Linked DNA regions of Diceros bicornis minor. The protein of the gene in region 2 interacts with the protein of the main gene of each other region in a pairwise test. Links are inferred from orthologs where the notes say so. Each region holds a gene or a part of one and is shown on either strand. Other genes may lie near its edges.

What was found. The genes of interacting proteins can lie anywhere in the genome.
Region 1: the proteins of HMBOX1 (region 2) and C21H8orf33 interact in binary tests that used the Homo sapiens proteins (3 or more experiments, as listed by UniProt). The two-hybrid records come from large-scale screens. The link is inferred for Diceros bicornis minor from reciprocal best matches to the Homo sapiens genes HMBOX1 and C8orf33.

Annotation. Positions count from the first base shown.
Region 1 is NC_080760.1:57,568,581-57,575,134, reverse strand, and holds C21H8orf33 (UPF0488 protein C8orf33 homolog), read right to left. Parts: upstream 2,523-6,554; 5' UTR 2,418-2,522; coding exon 2,412-2,417; intron 2,327-2,411; coding exon 2,281-2,326; intron 2,203-2,280; coding exon 2,033-2,202; intron 1,881-2,032; coding exon 1,796-1,880; intron 1,647-1,795; coding exon 1,500-1,646; intron 1,129-1,499; coding exon 989-1,128; 3' UTR 513-988; downstream 1-512.
Region 2 is NC_080750.1:64,922,828-64,930,274, forward strand, and holds the start of HMBOX1 (homeobox-containing protein 1), read right to left. Parts: upstream 3,023-7,447; 5' UTR 2,893-3,022; intron 1-2,892. UniProt on the Homo sapiens protein: Binds directly to 5'-TTAGGG-3' repeats in telomeric DNA. Associates with the telomerase complex at sites of active telomere processing and positively regulates telomere elongation.

The DNA of each region.
Region 1 (6,554 bases), on a different chromosome or scaffold from region 2:
CATTCACTGAAAAGCAGAAGACGAAGGGAGATTTAGAGGTTGATCGGATGTTTTGAACATGCCAAATTTGAAATGCCCATGAAACATCCAAGTAGAGATGCTGAGTAGGCAGCTGGGCTCCGGGCTTCTATCTAGTCTGAGATGCAAGTTTGGGAGATACCACCAAAATGGCATCACAGCCACTGAGGAGGATTAAGCCACCTGGAAAACCTGATTCAATGCAGCAGAAGGCCTGGGACTATCGCCTGGAGCAGCCAACATTTAGAGAGGTCATCCACCGAGGCTTAACCCGAGTCTTTGGCGGGGACTGTTAGGCCAAGAAGCTCTCTGCTCCTAAGAACAAAGCCTGGCCTGCTGGGAGCCACACTGGCTCCCTGAGGATGAATTGCTCAGAAATGAAGGCAACAAAAATGACCAAGCACTGGGGTGAGAGCCTGGATCCAGCACTGCCAGACGCCTGCCTCATCTGTACTTCCTCTAGCACACACGGTTAGCACACGCTTTCACTCATCCACTTTTATAAAAATTAGTTTTATTGGGGCAACGTGACATCACGAGAGAAAGCACCACACCATGTGGCAGGACCTCCTTTCCTAAGTGAGCACCAGTGCACAATCACACAGCTTTCCCACCATTCCTCACTACCAACAGCTACTACATCTAACACTAAAGACTGACTAAAATATTCTTTCTATAACATGCTGAACACTCACTTCAGCTTATTGTTGAAGCTTTTCTAAACGGACTTCCCTCTTCTGGCAGGAGGAACAATTCACCTGAAGACCTACAAATGGGGGTCTCGTGCTTGTCTGACAGTACCCAATATGCTGGTCTCACATCTGCCCAAAAAACGGCACCAGACTCACTGACCAGCCAGGGACAGACCAACCCCACATCTGTCCCACAGAGCATTCCTGGAAAGGCTCTGCACCCAAGATAAACCCCCACACCACTCACGGAGAGGGACTGTTCCAGGATGGGGGAGAGGCTAAAAGAAATTGAACCTAAACTCTTCATCAGGAGTGTCCAGGGTGGCCTTGGCTCCCCCTGCTAGGTGAGGCCTGCAGACCCTTCCACTCTTCTTTCTGGCGGCCTCACCTACAGGCTGCACCTGGGCTGACTGGGCTGCTGCGGGAGAAGAGAGAGACAGCATGAGGACTGAATAACAACAGCTAACATTACCTCTGCCCCCACAATTCTAACTGCTTTGTATAAATTTAACTGACTTCTCAAAATTATGAGGTAGGTAGTATCATCACACTCCTTTTAGAATCAAAGAGTAATTCACTAACTCTCCTGCTCGTCTCCCTGGTCTAGGCCCAAATTCTGTGTTCCCGAGGTCCGAGCTTTCTCATTCCCCGCTCCCTGAGGTTTCCCTGAGCCAGTCTCCTCCTCCCGCCAGCCATGTGGCTCTAAGCTTCTTTCTTTCACTCCCTAGGCTCTTCTTCCCCAACCCTTGAATTAGGCTGCCCTGAATCAACCAGTTCCCGGGTCCTCACCAGTCCGGAGGGCCCGCAGGGCTTCGCGCCACTCGCCTTCCATCTGAGCCCTGTAGTCCCCAAACAAGGAGCGCATCAGCTGCCTCTTCCGGGGCAGGGGGGTTCTTTCGCTGTGCAGGGTTCGGATTGCCCCAACAGCCTGCTCTCCTGCGGAAAAAAAAAAGGACTAGTGGCCTCCTCTATCCTCTCCTCCTATCGTCCTACCGCAAAGGCAACAATTCCACCCGGGCAGCACCTACAGCCCAGAGCACTGTCACCATTCACCGCCCCACCAACTCTACAGACGGGCCCCTCACTCTGTCTCGGGCTGGGTCTCCGCGTCTTGAGGCCTAGCTCCAGCTGCTCCACGCACCAGGCCAGTTCCCGAGCCAGCTGCTCCGCCTGTGATGGATGGGGGTAGTGGCTGCGAGAGGGCCTCCAGGCCCACCCCACAGCGACCCCCACGCCCCCATCCCATCCTCCGCCACCTCCACCCGCAAATCTGAGCGCACACCGCGGGCAGACTCCACCCTCCCGACCGAGGCCGCCCTTGCCTGGGCCTCCGCGCTCAAGGGTGCTTCCTCTGGGGCCGGCTCTTCGGGGGCCTTGCTGCCCGGATTCGCCACAGAGGGCCCCTTCCGGGTTTTCTTTCTCTTCTTCTGCTTCTTAGCGTCCGCCTCGCCTCCACCGCCTACGGGGCGCGCGTCCCCGCGCGCGGGGGGCCCTGGGCGGAAACGGACCGGGTGGGACCCTACAGCGGAGGGACCCGGGAAGCCGGGGCCGCGGGGCGCGCGCGCGGTACCTGGACCTGGGGCCGCCGCTGTCTCCCGAGCAGGATGTCCCAGGGCCTGGAGAAAGGGGGCAGCACGAGGATCACGGGGGCCGCCACGGCGCCAGGCCCCGCCGCCCGCGCGCCCTCCCCGCCCCGCTCACCGCCATGCGCCAGGTCGCCGCCGGAACCCACGTAGGTCCTCGGGTCCCACGCCGAATTCGCTCCTCCAGCAACGCGCCCGCGGCGCAGCGTTCCGGGCGCGAGCGGGCGGCGGGCGGCGGGCGGCGCCCGCCCGGAGCGGAGCCAGGCCCAGCTCTCACTCTGTTGTGGCCCCGTCGATCCTTCAGCACCTCACAGCCGCCTCGTTTGTTTTCCCTGGCGGTACTAGCGCCTCTTCAACCCCCAGAACCCGGCAGCAGGTCCTTGAAGAACCTGAGAGAGGAAGGTGTGGAGGACCCAGGCGGCCCCGTCAGCGGTCCCCGAACTCCTCTCCGCGCCCCGCCCTGGCGTGTGGTGAAGGCTCCCGGGCCCCGCCAGCTCTCCCGCTGTCCGCGCCTCCACGGCCGCTCAGACCCCACGCCTCGCGTCCACTCTCCGCCACCACGGCTGCGTCCTCGCTCTTGAGACACACCAGTCTCCGCTAAAACGATGTTTGCTCGGCCTGCTCTCCTAGCCTCCTTGGAAAATGTATTACCACCTTCATACGTGCAAATATGCAGTCAATTCTCATTATGTGAGGTAGTTCTATGAAGTGGCTGAGAATACTGAACCATTGCTTCTAGGGGAAATACAGTTCAGTTCCTGGCAGCCACCGTTCATGATATTTTCAACAACCTTGAAAATAACCTTGTTTTACGTGTGCTTCTGTTAAAGACACTTTTTAAAATATATGTAGTTGATTTACTAACATTGAGCTCATGGCCAACAGCACTATGACTCATGCCTGAATGAAGTTATCTGGACACATATTTCCTCCGTGAGGCACATCACAGCCTTCTTGCAGTTAGGAACACTAGACAGCACTTCAGCACTATGCTTGAGGGCCATTTTAAACAGCAAAAGCACCAACAAAAAGCACAAAAATGCAAAAAGTGTGGCACTGAATATACTGTGACAAGGACACAGGTTTACAATATAAGAGCTGAAACAAGAAAGCAGAGTGTCACCTTGGTCAGCCTCAGCTGTGAAGTCTGGTGACGGATTTTTCACTGCTCTGTGAATGTCCGTGAATGACCATGAAAGCACTAGTTTAGATTTTGGGGTTACAAATAAGTTCTAGCAAGTAGGCAAATTTGCAAATATGGAATCCACAGTAATGAAGATTGACTGTATATATAAACGTATTTTAAGGTAAAAATCATTAAAATGCATGTATCTACCACCCAGTTTAAGAACCAGAACATTATCAATATCTTTGAGGACCCTATGTGCCCTTCCTTCCAAGGTCATAATCCATTCCTCCCTTCAGAGAAAACAACTACATTGAAATTGACCATTTCTTTGCTTTTCTTGATACTTATATAACACAAATATGGATCTCTAAACAATATTGTTTAGTTTTGCACGTTTTGAACTTTAAATACATTAAATCATCTGTATGTGTTTTTTTTGTTTTGTTTTGTTTTTGTTTTTGTTTTTTGTGAGGAAGATCAGCCCTGAGCTAACATCCATGCTAATCCTCCTCTTTTTGCTGAGGAAGACCGGCTCTGAGCTAACATCTATTGCCAATCCTCCTCCTTTTTTTCTCCCCCAAAGCCCCAGTAGATAGTTGTATGTCATAGTTGCACATCCTTCTAGTTGCTGTATGTGGGACGTGGCCTCAGCATGGCCGGAGAAGCGGTGCCTCGTGCGCCCCCGGGGATCTGAACCTGGGCCGCCAGTAGCGTAGTGCACGCACTTAACCGCTAAGCCATGGGTCCGGCCCCTGTATGTGTTCTTAAGCTTGTTTTTTCCTCAGTATGTTGTGAGGGTTATGCATGTTGCTGTGTACAGCTGTAGTTCATTGTCTTCACTGGTGATGATATTCCACAGTATAAGGAGACACATCAATAAATATTTGCACTTCTTCCATTTTTTTGCTATTATTCACAATGCACTAGGAATATTCTTGTATGTCCCCTTTGTGCAGGAATTTCTCTAAGATATATCTAGGAGTGGAAAAGCAGAGTTGTAGGGTTATCCACATTTTCTACTTTCCCAGATAATATCAGCATCAATTTTCCAAAGTGGTTGTACCAGGTTACACTCCCACCAGCAGTGTATTAGAATTTATATGTTCACAGCTTCACTATTTGGTATTATCAGACTTTTAAATTGTCAGTGTGATGGGTGCAAAATAGTATCACACTGAGATTTTAATTTTCGTTTTTCTGAGCATCTTGTCATAATATTTATTGGCCACTAATGTTTCTCTTTCTATAAAGTTCTTGTTTATGTCTTCTGTTCATTTTTCTATCTGATCCACTGTTTCTTATTGAAGGCATAGAAGTTATTTACATATTATAAATATTCATCTTTTGTCAGTTGCATATGTTATAAACATCTTTTCCCACTCCGCAGCTTGTCTTTTCACTTTCTTTATAGTGTACTTTGATGAAAAGAAATTCTTATTTTTTAACAACATTGAATGTATCAATCTTTTTATTTCCCCTTTTTGTGTCTTAAGAATTTTTCAACTTGGGATCATAGAGCTAACTTCCTCTTCTAAAAGTTTATGGTTTTGCCTTTCAAATTCAGATTTTTAGTCTAACTGAAATTGATTTTTGTGTCCATGTAAAGTAGAATTCAATTTTATTTTTAAAATATGGATAATCAACTTTCCTAACCTCATTTGTGGAATTCTGATCTGCAAAGCCACCTCCATCGCAGCTCATTTCCACATATACATGGGTGTGTTTCAGAACTCTACACTTTGTTCCATTAGGCCTTTGTATGTCCCAGCACTAATGCCACTCTGGTTAACTGCCAACCTTTATAAGTCTGATATTCAAATGAGCTTATTCATTTCCATTAAAAAATGGAAATGTCTCCTTGGACATTTTTGTGAGATGAGTTAATTCTGTAGAGCATTTTGGGAAGAATTGATTCTCTGTATTAAACAATCATGAATCTAACATGAACCTAGTATACCTCCCATTTAATTAGGTCTTCTTCAATATTTTTCAACATTCAATATTATATTTCAATAAACTTCAATAAAGCTTTATAACTTTCTCCCTAAAAGTCTTTCACATTTTGTAACTAATCCTACATATGCTATTTTTAAATTGCTATTAGGATTCAAATTGGGGCACAAATCATATGTACACTTATGGTATAATAAGAAAAATATTTTATTTTTGTCCTTAGTTCATGGCACAGAGCTCCAAAACCCCTTGGAATTTCCTGAGTGATAAGGATGATAGGAGCATCTTTTGTTCTAATGAGATGACTCTTGGCCAGCCCCTAGACAGCTTCAGGATGGGGGCTGGTCACCAGAAATACTAAGCCTTATTAGAAACTTGGAACTTTCAGCCCCACCTCCCAATCTACAGGGAGGGGAGAGGGGCTGGAGACTGAGTTAATCATCAATGGCCACAATCATGCCTACATAAGGAAACCTCCATTAAAACCTCTAAACGAGGTGATCTGGGGAAGCTTCTGAGCTGGTGAACACATCCATGTGCTGGCAGGGTGGTGCACCCCACTCCACAGGGACAGAGGCTCCTGCACTTGGGACACTTTCAGACCTCCCCTATGTACCTCTTCATCTGACTACTGATTTGTACCCTCTGTAATAAACTATAATAGTAAGTATAGCATTTTCCTGGGTTCTGTGAGTCATTGTAGCAAATTATTGAATCCGGGGTGGCGGAATGTGGGAACCCCTGACTTTGTAGCTCAGTCACACAGAAGTGTGAGTGCCCCAGGCACTTGACACCTGTGACTATGTCTGAAGTAGGGACAGTCTTGTGGGCTGAGCCCTTAATCTGTGCAGTCTGCACTAACTCCAGGCAGTTAGGGTCCGAGTTGAGCTGAATTATAGGACTCCCAGCTGGTGTTGGAGAAGACACCATGTATTTGGTGTCAGGAAGGAAAAAACCACAATCTTTAATGATTTTCTTGTCTGTCTGATCTACCAATTATTGAAAAAGGCATGTAACACCCTCCCACTATGATGGTGAGTTTGTGTATTGCTCTTAGCAATTCTACAATTTTTGAAGTATATTTAAAACTATTTTATTCTGTGAATTTAAAATATTTGTATCTTTCTGGCTAAATGAACATTTCAGAATTATGTAATGGCATTCTGTTATCTACAGTAA
Region 2 (7,447 bases):
TGTCTAGGAATGTATAACATAAATAAGGACTCTTGAAACAAAAGGACTAGATCACAAAAGAAATTTTAATAGATTTCTACATAATATTTGCTAAGCTATTTATTCAAAGTGAAAGAGTTGTAGGCAGGTGAGATGGAGGTAAGCAGAAGTAAAAGTACTCCCGAGATCTGACTGGGAAGAAGAGGATAAGGTGAAAAAGGAAGAGAGGCAGAAAATAAAAGTACTCCAAAGGTCTCACCTTTTCGAGGTCAAGGAGATACCAAGGCAAAAAACGAGCCTCTTTCTGGGAAAAATAGTATTTTGTTTTCAAGTAACTGCAGGGAACTATTTATCAGTGAAGGTATAATTTTAAAGTCAAAAGTACTTAGTAGGATAAAGAGAAAGATTATACAATTATAAAATATACATACAGTTTATGACCAAGATATAACTTATAAACTTGTATATACCAAATAACACAGTAAAGCTTATTAGAACTTTAATAATTTTATTTTTTAAAATACAAATATACTGAATTATTTCAGTATACCTTTTAGAATGGACAAATATAGTTGGAAAGAAGAAAAAAACAAATTTATATTATCAATAAACATAATTTTTACAAGATACAAAAGATACCTTGTAACCCTCTAACAAAGAACAGATATTTTTTCTTATGTTCAGCACCATGATTGATCATAAACATAGTCATAATGAAAGCTTTAACTAATTGCAGAGATATACAATCTAAAAAATTTAGAAAAATGTACAAAAATATCTTTACTTTTAAACTACGAAGTGATTTTAGATAATCTTTGGATCAAAGAGGAAATAAAAAGGGAAATTATGATCTACATAGTCAGCTACAACAAAAAAATAGAATCATAATTAAAACCCAGGTGACCCAGCAAAATTTGTATTCAGAAGTAAGCTTATTGGGCTGGCCCCGTGGCTTAGCGGTTAAGTGCTCGCACTCCGATGCTGGCGGCCTGGGTTCGGATCCCAGGCGCGCACCAACACACCGCTTCTCCAGCCATGCTGAGGCCGTGTCCCACATACAGCAACTAGAAGCATGTGCAACTATGACATACAACTATCTACCGGGGCTTCGGGGGAAAAATAAATAAATAAATAAAATTAAAAAAAAAAAAAAAAGTAAGCTTATGGCCTCAAAGACTTTTAATATTTTTAAAAGGCAAGGGGGAAAAAAAACTCAGTAAATAAGAAATTAGAAAAATAATAAAATATATCAAAATAAACTAAGAAGAGAAACTAAGAGATACTATTTGGAATTAATATAAAGTAGTTATACAGAGGATACTTAAGTCTAAAGCTAGCTCTTTGAAAGACAATCACTCAGAGTCTAATAAGGGAGTGAAAAAAAAAAAAAAGACCGAGAGAGAAAACTCACAAGATTCAGAAGGAAAAGAGAAATACAACATAAGCACAGAAGAGAATTAAGAAAACAAAACTAAGAGAACACAAATGCGATTTCATGGCAATTCATCTGAAAACCCAAAAGACAAGAATGATTTCCCAGTAAAAGAGGAAATATCAAAACTGACCGGAGAAATGAATCCTTGAGTAAAACCAAATACCATAAATTAAAGGTAATTAAAAATCTACTATAGAAAAAGACATCAAGACCAGCCAGATTCTCAGCAGATTCTTAATCTTTAAAAAACCATTTTAATAATATTAAATCATAGAAAAATACAGAAAATGTTCCAATTTGTTTTATGAAGTCAGAATAACTCAATACTAAATCTAACAAAGGTAGTACACAAAACATACCATAAACCAATTTCACTTAAAAGTTAAATGTAGGGGCCAGCCTGGTGGCACAGAGGTTAAGTGCGCACGCTCTTAACCTGTGAGGGTTTGCAGGTTCGGATCCCAGGCGCGCACTGACGCACTGCTTGTCAAGCTGTGCTGTGGCAGTGTCACATGTAAAGCAGAGGAAGATGGGCATGGATGTTAGCCCAGGGCCAATCTTCAGCAAAAAAGAGGAGGATTGGCATTGGATGCTGGCTCAGGGCAAATCTTCCTCACAAAAAAAAAAAAAAAGAAAAAGAAAAAGAAAGAAATGCAAGAGTGGTTCTTTTTTAGAAATCAACATAATCCAACATATCAACAAATTAAGGAGAAAAACTCATATGATTATAACAACAGATGCTGAAAAGGAATTTGGTAAAATTCAGTAGCCATTTATAATAAAAGCTCCATTGAAAAGAATAGAAAAAAATTAAACATTTTTGGGAAAAAAAAACAACAGCAAATATCCTAAATAGCAAAACACTAAAAGCATTTAAAATAAAATTAAGATGGTATCCACACACAATAAATATATATCTATTCAATGTATGTATGTGTGTTTATATATATTTCTATATTTATATCTATATCAAGAACTTGCTTCTACATGGAAATTTGATGGTCTGTGGAAGAGTGGTTACTTTGAGTACAGAGTGGGAAACGGACAGATCAGGGACAGGGTGGGAAGGAGACTGTTCACAGGAAACTTTTATTATTTTAACTATATGAATTTTATTACTCATTCAATAAATCAAATGAATAAAATCAGGAATTAAAGCAGGAAGCCCTCTAAACCCTTTATAATTCAACACTGACTTGAAGATGATAGCAAACTAATAAGACATGAAAACAAATTAACTGGCATAAATATTAGAATGGAAAAGAAAAATATATTTTTGTTAATGATCTGACAGAATACAGGCATACCTCGGACATATTGCAGGTTCAGTTCCAGACTAACCACAATAAAGTGAATATTGCAATAAAGCAAGTCACATGAATTTTTTGGTTTTCCAGTGCATATAAAAGTTATGTTTACACTATACCGTGGTCTATTAAGTGTGCAATAGCATTATGTCTAAAAAACAATGTACGTACCTTAATTTAAAAATATTTTATTGCTAAAAAATGCTAACCATCATCTGAGCCTTCAGCAAGTTGTAATCTTTTTGCTGGTGGAGGGTCTTGTAAAAAATGCAATATCTGCGAAGCGCAATAAAGCGAAGTGCAATAAAATGAGGTATGCCTGTACCTAGAAAACACAAGCAATTCTAGTAAAGAAAAACCCTGAAATTAATAAAATAAATTATAAAGCAGAGGTATGATAAATACATAAATAAAAATTTTCCCTAGTTTAGCAGGAAACACCTAGAAACATAATGGGAAAAATATTTCATTCACAGTAGTAACTTTTCCCCAATATTTATAAATAACTGTATTGAGAAATAAGCTCAAAAGACCTTTTTATTCAAAAATAGTATCTTAAAGTTATAAAGGAGAAAATCCAAGAACCACCAAGAAAATTGAACAAAAGGAGAAAACCGTAAGTGGACTTCACTAACCACATATCAGAATATATTCAAAAGACATGTCAGAAGTCCCCCCTTATCTGTGGTTTTGCTTTCCGTGGTTTCAGTTACCCTTCAGTCAACCACAGTACCAGAATATTAAATGGAAAATTCCAGAAATAAACAATTCATAAGTTTTAAATTGCCCTCCATTCTGAGTAGCATGATGAAATCTCGTGCTGTCCAGCCTTGTCCCGTTCTGTACACAAATCATCCCTTTGTCCAGTGGATACCGTATATGCTATCCATGAGTCAGTCAGTAGCTGTCTTGGTATCAGACTGACTGTCAGGGAATTGCAGCGCTTGTATTCAAGTAACCTTTATTTTACTTAAAAATGGCCCCAAAGTGTAGGAGTAGTGATGCTGGCAATTCGGATATGCCAAAGAGAAGCTATAAAGTGCTTCCTTTAAGTGAAAAGGTGGTAGTTCTTGACTGAATAAGAAAAAAATCATATGTTGAGGTTGCTAAGATCTATGATAACTTTTATTACAGTATATTATCATTGTTTTATTTTATTATTAGTTATTGTTGTTAATCTCTTACTGAGCCTAATTTATAAATTAAACTTTACCATAGGTATGTATGTATAGAAAAAAACACAGTATATATAGGATTTGGTACCATCCAAGGTTTCAGGCATCCACTGTGAGGTCTTGGAATATATCCCTCGGATAAGGAGGGATTACTGTAATCAAATCAATATGGCACTAGCATAGGAATAAACACACACGAGTGGAACAGAATAAAGAACTTAAATATAGATTCCAGCACATATGAGAAAATGTACAAGTCAAAAATTAAATAGTATTTCAGCAGGAAAGGATATTTTTAAAACAATCACCACAAAAATGGTTATCATCCAGCCAAAAAAAATTAGATCTTTATCTTACATTATATATAAAAAAATAAAATTCAGGTGAAATAAAGGCAAATGTAAAAAACAAATCACAGCAATACATTCTACAACAAAATTTATAAGATGACATGTCTCCTAAACATTCTTAACAAAGAGCAGAAACTTTAAAAGATAGACATAAAAAGTTTTAAATTTCCTATTATGAAAAAACCATAAACAAACTAAGCAATTAAATCAGAAAAAAATATTTGAAATGTAGAGAAAGAGCAGATCCAATTGGTCAAGTTTATAAAAAATACTCAAACTTACTAGAAGTCAGGTAAATAACAATTAGTTTAACAATGAGATATCACTTTAGGAAAAATTTTAAAGATTGATAATATCTCCTCAAAAGGGTACTATCGTATTTCATTGGCCTAAATGTGAATTATGACATCCTTTTGGAAGGAACTCTGGCAACATATATTAAAACTTAAAGTACTTACACCTTTAACCTGCCAGTCCTGCTACTGGGAATCCATCATATAGAAATAAAAGTAATCATACATAATACGTACAAGGATGTTTATTGTCATGTATTTTCCAACTTCTTGTCTCCATAAACAGAGTTGTTTCAATCAATACAGGAACGGCTGAATAAATTACAATATACTTTGACCAATTAACACAATGCAATCATTAAAAAGAATAAATCAGAGTTTTATCAGGTGATGGTGGGATTTGCACATTGCAGTGTTGAGTAAAAAAAAAGCAAAATACAATCAAATGAGTATAACGTGATCAGGTTTAAAAAGAAAAACTACAGGGGCCGGCCCAGTGGCACAAGCTGTTAGGTGTACGCGCTCCACTGCCGCGGACTGGGGTTCGCCGGTTTGGATCCCCAGCACGCACTGACGGACCGATTGTCAAGCCATGCTGTGGCGGCGTCCCATATAAAGTGGAGGAAGATGGGCACGGATGTTAGCCCAGGGCAGCTAAACATCCTAAATCCTCCTCAGCAAAAAAAGAGGAGGATTGGCAGATATTACTACAGGGCAGAACTTCCTCACTTTTTAAAAAATAAAAAATAAATAAATAAAAAGAAAAACTACAATAAAAAATCCCTTTATTAAAATGTACATGTCTCACATGTATATATATATATATACATACATACAGATATCAAAGTACATGATCATGGAGGAAAAAACAGGTGGTCAACAGGTAATGGAACTGGGTAAAGAAAGGGTGTGTGTGTACAGAATATGGGTCAGGAAGGATAAATGCATATATGCAATAGATACACGCACACACTTTTATGCAAGAAAACTGTAAAAATTTCTACTATCATAAATGGACTCAATTATTAAATGATTAGTTTAGGGTTGTCAAAATCCTACACAAAGTCAGGTTGAGCAATAAAGAAGGTTACTGTCAGCATTGTTGACCCTCGAAGAAAAATATAACCCAGAAAATTCATTAGGAATAAGAACCTGTAGATGCTGTGTTACCCACAGGTGGTAAGAAGGCTCCTTTTTACCCTAGTTTTTCTCTTTAATATAAAAAGTAATAACTGCGTAAGGTAAAGAAAAACGTGAATTTCAAAAGACTTAGAGTAAGTCTCCCACCCCAAATCCCTTTTTGTCTTCTATCCAGATACTGTTTACAGTTTCTTCATACATCTTTGCATACATGTGAGTATAACTTGGGGATAAATTTTCTTTAGTGGAATTGTTATGACAAAGAGTATATACATTTTAAATTATGATAGATTTTGTCAAACTGCCTCCCATAGAGACACCAATTTATGCTCCCACCTTTGGGAAATACTTAGTTATGAATCCAGTATGTCAGTGGTGATCAACAATTGAATTTACATTATGCAGTTCGGCATGTATCTGTTTCCCTCAATAACAGTAAACACAGAAACAGCAGAATATTTAAACCAAGGAAGAAAGAAAATAAGAAACAAGGAGTGTAAAGCTTTAGGAAGAAAGCAAAGCATAAGAGAGAGTAGAGAGTTAGCTTTGCTACAGCAAAGGCAGCAAGCAAGCCATCAAAGGGAGAGGTGGCAGGGGACATTGCAAACATCAGTTAGTGAGACCCTTAAGCCCAGATTTGGATACCAGAAGTCTGAAACAGCCATTACAGAGCCCCTTTTACTGCTCTTTTAGCACTTCACACAGAATCCAGTGTTATCCACCTAAAATACCTATTTAAAATAAAACAAAAAATGTATTAAAATACAGAGGCAGAAAAGCCTCACAATCCCTTAACTTAGATACTATTAGTACTTTCAATTTACAAATGAGGAAATGCACCTTCTTCCTGACTAGATACACATCTAAAAAAACACACACACACAAATATATAAATAAACATAACACATAGAGGTAAAAAAGGTCTGAAAACTCCACTAGAACAAATAAACAGTGAGCATCCTTTCCTTTTAGCTCTCAGTCCTTTTTTTTTTAAAGTATAGTTGATATACAATATTATATTAGTTTCAGGTGTACAACGTAGTGTTTCGACATTTATGTACATTACGAAATGATCACCACAGCAAGTCTAGTAACCATCTGTCACCACACAAAGTTATTATAATATTAATTACTATATTCCCGATGTTATACATCACATTTCCATGACTTATTTTTTTTTTTAAAGATTTTATTTATTTTTATTTTTTCCCCCCAAAGCCCCAACAGATAGTTGTATGTCATAGCTGCACATCCTTCTAGTTGCTGTATGTGGGACGCGGCCTCAGCATGGCTGGAGAAGCGGTGCGTCCGTGCGCGCCCGGGATCCGAACCCAGGCCGCCAGCAGCAGAGCGCACACACTTAACCGCTAAGCCACGGGCCGGCCCTGTGACTTACTTATTTTATAACTGGAAGTTTCTGCCTCTTATTATTAGCACTCAGTCCTTCTGTCCAAAGATAAATACTATTAAGTTTCCTGTGAAGCTTTACGAAGATAAAAATTAAGAAATAAATATACATAGACCTGCATATATCTAACATACAATTCTTATTTTTAATGGTGGACTTGAAAAACTTTTTATTATGAAAATTTGCAAACATATAAAGGGAGAGTAATAGATGCTTAAATACCCATTACTCAGCTTGAATAATTAACAATTTCCCTCCCTGCTCCCCTGTTCCAATGGGTATTTTCAAGAAAATTTCAGACATTTTATCATTTTAACATACAATTCTTAGCAAGCTTCAATATCTGGTTTCCAAATCCAG